Cricetulus griseus: one gene and its partner. The protein of the gene in region 1 purifies or fractionates together with the protein of each later gene. This does not show direct contact. Links are inferred from orthologs where the notes say so. Each region holds a gene or a part of one and is shown on either strand. Other genes may lie near its edges. The genes, in order: Cpvl and Capzb.

Region 1 (4,309 bases):
CCCATTCCTGCAGCTTTGACAGATTCCACTAACAATGGGGATTTAAAGAGGGAGCTGCCCATCTGTCCACAGCTCCCTGAACTTTCAGTAAGGCGGATGAATAAAATTATCCTTAATTATGTTGTTGGGCAGCATCTGAGTCCCCAGATGTACCAGCTTTGGGATCCACCATTCAAATTCCATTCAGCGATTCTGAGTACGACACACAACTTTAATGATGGAAGTTATGTATCAATCGGTGTCTCAAATGCTGCCATTCATAGGGAGAGGATCTGCTGGGCTTGCTACCAAATGTCTAAAGATGAAGCTTTCTCCCTTACTGTGTATGCCCATGACCCTGGGATGCCCCTAAGCCTCAAAGGGGATGACCCATTGTTCAGGTGGATTCTGCAGTGTTCTTCTCACTCAGTTCTGCTACACAGGACAAAGACATGTGATGGTTTCTCCACTTAATGCATTTGCTTAGCTGTCTCCTAGTTCAGTGTGTATAAAGACCCTTTTTGGGCCACCATATCTTATCTACATTATTGAGTCAGGAGATTGTCACATGGCACAGTGGTTCATAGTATGGTTGGTAGACAAAAGTTATGATCCCAGATCTGCCACTTACTAGTTTTGTAGCTCTGGAAAAGATACTTATCTTCCTAGAGCCCCAGTTTTCTCATCTGTGCAATAGGAACAATAATTATATGTTCTTTATTAGAGTTGCTCTGAGACCTACATGAGCTAAGATATGGCAAACATGGTTCCTGGCACGTGGTTGAAACTCAAATGTAAATCACATAAGTATTTACTAAGTGCCTACCACATAAAAGTATTGTGCTAGTAATAGGAACTAACAACTGAGTATTACTAATCACTTATTATTTATTTTAAGTCATTTATTATTTTTATTCATAATGTAGACTTTATAATTTATTGGTAATTATTGTCACTACTACTATTATTTCCTACCTAGATTATAGCAATAGCATTCCTTCTCGAACTTTTAGCATACCTAGCTTGGATGTAACACTTTAGCTTCATTCCTTACTTGGTTCCCATGTATTAGTACATCTATATCAGAAAACCACGAGCTTCTTAAACAAGAAAAAATATACCACAGTAGGCAAAGCACAGAGGGGAAACCAGAAGATCTGAGCCCCATGGGCTCCTCTGCTCCCAGTCTCTCTTCCCAGCTTCTCCTTTGGGCAAATCCAGATGCGCGAGTCTCCTTCCTTGCATGGGGCTGGGTAGGACTTGGTTATAATGACCTTAACCCCTTTACAACTCCACATCAAATGGTTTTCTCTGACTTCTTGTTAATGAGATAAATCTGCACATTAATTCTGCAGTTACCAAGGAAGCTGGGCTGAATTCCGTCCGGCACTGTGGGGTTGGGTGGTTGTTGTGTTCCTACTCAGATACATCTTTAAGAATCAGCCCATGTGGCCAGGCAGCCATCTTTCCATGTATTTGGTGCAGAAAGTGAAACTGAATCCCTTTTTACATATTCTGATTACACAAGAAAGGTGTTTTCACCTTCCTGTAGCAAAGAACTGGCAAAGTCCAGAGCCTATGCAGATTTCATGGAGAAACCATGAGGGTAGGATTCAACCCTCTTTATAGCAAAGAAAACAAAAGTGATAGTAACCTGTTGATTGTGAGGACACTTCCTTTGAGGAAACCGCTTTATTTTAAACTTCCTTGTACAGTGTTTAGACTTACTTTTGGTCTTTGAAACCAGTATTTCCCTGAAACTTCTGGTCTCCTCCACCCTCAGTCCCATCTGACCCTCCAGCAAGTCCCTCCTCTGTGTCTCTCACACTCAGTGCCCGCCAGCAGCTCCTCAGATCACACCTCACCCATCCCTTGCTTCAGCAAACACTCATTGTCTGTCTCCTCTTTGCTACCCTTCCTTGACTCCCTCTGGCCACCAGCCCAGTCCTCTGCTCCTTTGTACAAACAATTCCTCAAAGTCAGAGTCTGTGCACTACTTGTAGCTCAGGGGACAACCAGGTTCCCACAGAGGATGTTCTTTGTGGCCTCGGTGACTTACCTAGGCACCAAGATTCGGTGAGAGAGAGCAGATGCAATCATACACTTTAGTCTAACAACACCAATTGTGACTTCTTTCTATTAACTGGTAGATAGTAACCGCCTGGTAGTCTGTTAATGACTAAGATTTGGGAAGAAATGTACAGGATATGGGGAGTTTTCTAAGTTTTTGTTTTGTTTTGTATTTCTCTCTCACTAGATTTTCCTGGTATTCTTGCAAGTTATATAAGATGCTAATTTTGTTAACTCTTTCTGACAAGGAAACTGAAGCCTACTCTGTGAATAACTTGCCAGGTGAGAGGCATAGCAGAGTGGGTGGAGGGAAGCCCTCTGAGTGTGGAGGCCACACCCACCAGCTGGCATCTGTGTGAATTCTGGCAGGTCCTTGGCCCTCCTACTTCAGTCTTCCTATGTGGACACACCCTGCTTTGTAGCCGAGTGCTAATGTCAACATCCACAGACAAAAGTTGCAAGGTTTGTAGTGGCTTTGTCAATGCTGCCCACTTCAAGACATTCACAGGTTTTATAAAGAGAAAGTCTGCAACTTAAATATATCAATATTCCATCTCCAACCACCTCATTTTAGCTCAAAACTCAGATAATACATGACATCAAGTCTTTAGTATTTGAAATAAAACAACGGAATAAAAATACTGACAAGTGTTTCACATCTTGGGGCATGGTTGCTTTTAAAACACCATTGAAAACGCAGGAGCAGTTTTCTGACACTTACCTTCCTTGATCTTCCCAGCATTGATAAAAGGGGTAAGAAACAGAGGCTGTCCTGCATTTCCCTTGAATGGCCTGGAAACATGGGTGCTTCGGTATATGGAGCGAAACAATCCATCACCAGGAACGACCATAAACAGGATCAATGAAACAATCACCTTCCACATGATACCAACCATTTCTTGGCCTGGGATAAGAAAAGTAACATTCCACACATGAGTCAAAAGTCAGTATTTGCCTATCCCCTTTACATGCAAGAAATCTACTTGTTTACTAAAAGAAAACCAAAAGAGCAAAGCAAACAAAGCAAGAAAACCTTTGCTATTGTGTATAAAGGCAGTTTACTGAGCACTTTGGACATCACCAGGAAATAAATCAGACCCACCCAATCCCTCTTGATCATGACCTCGGGTACATACAGAAAGATTCTGCAAGAGATTTACAATGTACCTGGAAGCAACTGTTAAAAATCTACGGCCTGGAAAGTAGATCCAGTAAAGAATTAGGCAAAACTGGGGAGCAACCAGGGCTCTAGAAATGGCCCCTGAGTAAGTGAGGGGCAGGGACCATTCCATCATTGCAGAATGGCGGGTATGAGAGGGGGTGGAACTCAGTATGGGAGCAACAGGAAAAGCACATGCATGCACAACACACACACACACACACACACACACACACACACACACACACACACACACACACACACACACACACACACACACACACACACACACACACACACACACACACACTCTCACACACACACACACACACACACCTGGCACCGAACATACAGGAGACCAAGGGTTTCCAGTGCACTTCACAGGGGAATTTAAAATAAGCTATAGGTTTTTTAGGATCCCTCTATCACTTATAAATCACAAGTTTTATATCCAACAACAAAACAGAAAAAAAGAGATGGAGGATTCTATTTCCATGTCCCTCTGCTCATTTGATAAGTAAACTTAAGAAATTAGACACATGTATACCTTTAATCCTAGTCATAGAAGGAAGTTACCGCCCTGCCCCATCCTGTAGTCCCAAATAAGCACACAGAGGCTTATATTGATTATAAACTGGCCTATTGCTCAGGCTTATTACTAACAAAATCTTACAACTTAACAATAATTCTTATCTGTGTTTAGCCACGTGGCTTGGAACCTTTTCTCAGTAAGGCATTCTCATCTTGCTTCCTCTGCATTTGGCTGGCAACTCACTCTCTGCCTTCCTTTTCCCAGAATTCTCCTAGTCTGGTAGCCCCACCGATACTCCTGCCTGACTACAGCCTCTTGGAACTCCAGATCCATGGATCTGACACCCTCTTCTGGCTTCTATTGACAATTGCACACAAGTGCACATACCCACACACAGACACACACACACAGAGTTGAAAACAGAAATAAATATTTTTTTAAGAGAGAGAAGAAAAAGGACAATGTTGGTAACAATCTTTAAATGTGATTTTCGCTGAGAGTATTCTCCCAGCACATCATCACAATGCCTTGAAATCATGTCGCCTGCCATCCAGACTTTACAGAAACAC
Region 2 (4,553 bases), on another chromosome or scaffold:
AGCTCCTGAGGAACCTCCTTGGCCTTTCACTACTACAGCACTACAATCAAGCAACAGCGTCTTAACACTCAGAATAATAACCCTAAATTAGAAGCCAGAGCTCTGATAGGCAAAGTGCTTTGAAATTGCAAAGCACTTAGGGACGGTGGTAAGACTGCCTGCAAAGGGAATGCATTTGCCTAAGCATTCTTAACAGGGACAGTGAACCAGACTCAAGAAAAAAAAAAAACTCAGGCTTCTCTTTCCCTCAGCAGATAAGTTGGAGCTAGAGTTGTTTGTTCTGCCACCAAGCCCACTGAAAACAAAACCATGGTGTTCATTACCTATAATATAGCTCCACTCTGCCAACTGATCCAACTGCCCACACCAGGGCATCAGATCATTCAAGCATGGTACGGATTTGACAACAGGCAGTCAGAAATTACTTAGAGGCCTGGGGGACACGAAAAACAAGCTGCTGAGTGAATGAGCACCAAACCTCAAGTGGCTAAAGCTCATAGACACCCTAAGCAATCTCTTGTTTCTTTTTTGAAACTCAGGGTCTCACTCTCACTGTGTTACCCAAGCTGGCCCTGGACGCCTTAACAGCTGATTACAGGTGTCAGCCTTCCATGCTGTATCTTTCAGTCTTAGGTTCTGCTCTAGAACCCAGACAGACAGAGGCCAAAAACACCAGACCAAAATCTCAGTCCCCAAAGAGCTCAGGATCAGGTCCAGGCAGACCATACTACTGTATCAAGATGACATTTCCGGTTACCAGGAATATCCACACCCAGTCTGCAGGAATAAGTACTCTGCCCGCCCTTGCCATGTTTGAGCATCCGGTCATTACGTTTCTTAAACAATGTCATTATATCAGACATACAACAGCCTACCAGGAAGATCACTGTCTGGAGCCCGCCAAGCCACTGCTTCCACTGGCCAAGAGTGGTCCATCCACAAACTGAGCAATGCTCTGAATGAGATGCAATGAATGCCCCAGCCTCTCTTCACCTGTCAGAAGATGGTGACAGGGGAAGCATAGAGGACTCTGGCCACTCCACTCCACTCCACCACTATCTCTGGCTTTGGCTCCCGGAGCACACATAGAAAACTTCAGTTGACTTTTAAAAGTCTCACCCAAAACTGTCCTAGACAAGTCCTTCCCCATGCGGACTAAGGCCACAGTCCAGACCCCCAGGCCAGTTTTCAAAGAACAATAGTATGACAGACAGTCTTGCCTACATTTTAAATCAATATATAGAAAGTTTATTAGCCAACCAGAATTAGGCACCCTAATTCAGTTGCTACACCCTTGATTAAACAAGGAACAGGGTTCCTCAAAACATCTAGAGCTCAAAGTCCACTCCCAAACATCTATCATCAGCAGGAGGGGAGCCGACCACAAGGCTGTGAGGCATGCAGCAGGTGGATGGCCTTAACTGTCCACTTTTCAAGCTTCCTTGACCATTTGAGGCCCTTCCATCTAGGTGCTGGACCTGCTCTGCAGAAGGTGTCCAAGTGGATGGGGGGCAGGGTTATGGGGGGACACCCCTAAGGCTCCTCAAATAAGCTGCTCACACAGTGTGCCTGCCTTCATTACCAAAACACACACCAGGGTTCAACCAGAGGGAAGTCTCAGCCTGCGAGTTTTGCTCACCTGTTCCGAGACACCTCCATAATCAGAAGTTCCAACCCTTACAAGCTGACAGTTCAGGGGGAAAGGGAGGCTTCGCCTGCTAGGGTGCATCGTATCCAGGCCATATGTTGGTCTCTGAGCTTGGTGTCCCCCCAGCCCCCATGCCGCGACCTCACAAGAGCGATTATGCGTTCATCCCTGTCCACTCGGCTTCGTCACCGTCAGCACTCTGCTCCCCTCTCAGGCAGGGCGGCCACGGGAAATGCCCTGGTCTGCCTTCCGGGCACACAGATGCCGCCCTTATGCCTCTTGCTCGCTCGCTCATTCCGAAGCGAAGCAGCCTCCCCAAAGGGGCAAGTCTCAAGTATAGGAAAGCACAGTACCCGGACCACCCCCACCCCGGCTGGGGCTCTCCCCCGCTTGCCAGGGACTGCCAAGAAGGAGCGTCCTAGGAACAGGGGAGGAGACACCTAGGTCGGGAGCAGGACACCAAGCAAGCAGAGTCTAGATGGGAGGGTGAGGATGAGAACGGCGGGCTGACGCAGACTAAGCCAAGTCGTGAGAAGTCTGGGGGAAGGGGATCGCTAGGGCCAGGGCCAAGGAGGTGCAGGTGGAGGGCACAGCAGGAGTAGAGTCCAGACTTGAGGACCACGGACAGAAGATTCCATGGGGGTGAAGGAAACAAACGTAGGCTAAGGCCACTAGAAAGGGGTCGTCGGGGTCCAGGCTGGGGCCATGGAGAGAAGAGTTTGAGTGGAGGGGGCCTAGCATAGGTCGCAGCAGCGAGAAGCACCATCCTAGCCTGGGCCCTGGGGCCGAGGTAGGGAAGCCTAGCTCAGGCCGTGGGATGCGGGCCTGAGAGAGGGGTGCCTGGCCCGGCCTCTAGGGGAAGGAAGGTCTAGCCTGGGATCCTCGAGACTAGCCTGGACATGCCGGGGAAAGAACCCGGCTCCACATGGAGCCCAGGGCGGGGTCACGCACCACCCGAGCCTCCCGCCGACCCCTCCGGACCTGAGGGGTGGCGTCTGCCCAGGGTCCCGGACCCCACCCCTCCCCCACCCCGGGTCCCACCCTCCCCGAGCCGGCGGGTCCGCGGGGTAGGAGACGGGAGCTCCCGAGGGGGGTCCCGGGATGGGGCCGTGGAGGGGGTCCCTTTACCATGGTGGCGGCGGCGGCGACGGTCCCTGTCCCGGCGTCTGTAGCTCTCCCCCCCGCAGCAGGGCCCGGCGCTTCCACTTCCCCCGGGTGCCCAAGAGTGAACATCCGGGTCCGCGCCCCCCTCCCCCCCACCCGCGCCGGCCGCCGCCACCTTCCTTCCCCGCCAGCCACCCCCCCCACGCCGCCAGCTCGCGGCCAATGAGCGAGCGGGGCCGCGGCGATCGCCAAGTATGGAGCTCTGCGCGGGGGGCGGGGACGGGGGTGGGTCCTGTGGTCGAGTGGGCGTGTTCTCATGGGGGAGGGCGGGCCCTACGCGGGCCAGGCGCGTTGGTTCCGTAAGCCCGGGGCTCGCGCGTACCGGAGGGACCTAGGCGGCCGTGGCACCCTCCTGCTGCCCACTTCGCCATCTAGCATCTGGAGGACACGGGGTACCTGAGGGTGGAGCGGTTCACTGGCCCCCCTGGGCGGAGGATGCGGAAGGCCCTGAACTAGGAGGGGACCGGCCCTCCGCGCCCCACCCGGACCCGGAACTGGTGCGCCAGAATGGGGCCCAGCCCCTAGAGCGCTAGCGGAGCCTGCACTGGGACGCCGGCGCTGCCGCCCCTGTGGCTGAACACCCGCTATCACGACCGGGGAGGCAGCCTTTAGGTACCAGAAGATGACAGGAGAATAAGCCTGAAGGATCCCTGCCCGCACTTCCTGGCTACCAGACAGGGTGGTCGTGAGGAAGACGCGGGTACAAAGATAGAACATTTGGGTTCAATAAATGCTGGCTGTTAGATATACTTTTCTACATTACCTGCAGAGAATCAGCCTTTTTGCCAAATGAGTCTTTTCCTCGCTCCATCCAGTGACTCAGGAATCCCTCTTTGTTTTCACAACTGAAGATTGAACTAGAGCCTCATACTTGCTACGCTGATGTTCTTACACTGAACTGAAGTCGCAGCCCTAGAAATGCACTTTTCAAAATGCTTTGTTGAGTTAATCTAGACTGCAAATCTTGCTCATAATACCTACCTACCAGACTTGCTCACCTTCTATTTAAAATCAAATCAGGTCGTAGGTGGGAGTGGGGATCAGTAAATTTCATCCCTGAAAGATTATGCCCGAGGCCTCTGAGCTCATAAACAAGTGAGAGCCTTCAGGAACAGCCAGTGAATGGTTAAGTCCCTCAAGAGTGGCAGTAGACCAGTATTACAGGAGGTCAGAGAAGGGAGTGGCACTTAGAAAGTCATCACTCCATAAGTATTTATTGTGTAACAATTGGCCAAGCATTATGCAGACTATGGAGATTGCAGCTATGGGCAAAATATCTCATGCTAGCCTAGAGTTTGTAGGTGAAATTTCGCTTCAGGAGATGGAGCCTCCTGCAAGCTGGATATGTACACCTGCCCTGAGTTAAGGCGCTGCTGAGCTTGAATGCTGTCAGGAGGTGAGTTAAGAAAAAGCATCAGAGTGGATGGAGGAGGTAAGCAGAGGTAGCTAAGCACTGTGTGGTGGCATTTGGGAGGATGGTCCAAGGCAGCAAAAGATGGGAGTGGAGTGTACACACAGCCCCAAGGGCAGAGACACCCCCCCCATGTATTCGTAGACAGCAAAGAGGCCAGTGGCCATTCTGAATTGTGTTAGCAGAAAGCTTCAAGAACAGCTGCAAACTATGACCTCCCTCCAAAAAAAAAGACTGTGAGCCTCTTGTGTGCTGGTTTATAGGGTGAATAGGGCCTCAGGAAGCTTTGTATATCCCAGGCATTTATTTAAAAACCAGTGTGTAGGGAGA

What was found.
Region 2: the proteins of Cpvl (region 1) and Capzb purify together in Homo sapiens (affinity purification with mass spectrometry; 3 studies listed by BioGRID and IntAct, with this or other methods). This does not show direct contact. The link is inferred for Cricetulus griseus from reciprocal best matches to the Homo sapiens genes CPVL and CAPZB.

The regions. Positions count from the first base shown.
Region 1 is NC_048601.1:87,358,326-87,362,634, reverse strand, and holds the start of Cpvl (probable serine carboxypeptidase CPVL), read right to left. Parts: upstream 2,946-4,309; coding exon 2,771-2,945; intron 1-2,770. UniProt on the Homo sapiens protein: May be involved in the digestion of phagocytosed particles in the lysosome, participation in an inflammatory protease cascade, and trimming of peptides for antigen presentation.
Region 2 is NC_048595.1:14,117,176-14,121,728, forward strand, and holds the start of Capzb (F-actin-capping protein subunit beta), read right to left. Parts: upstream 2,897-4,553; 5' UTR 2,882-2,896; coding exon 2,777-2,881; intron 1,745-2,776; exon of another isoform or gene 1,730-1,744; coding exon of another isoform or gene 1,640-1,729; intron 1-1,639. UniProt on the Homo sapiens protein: F-actin-capping proteins bind in a Ca(2+)-independent manner to the fast growing ends of actin filaments (barbed end) thereby blocking the exchange of subunits at these ends.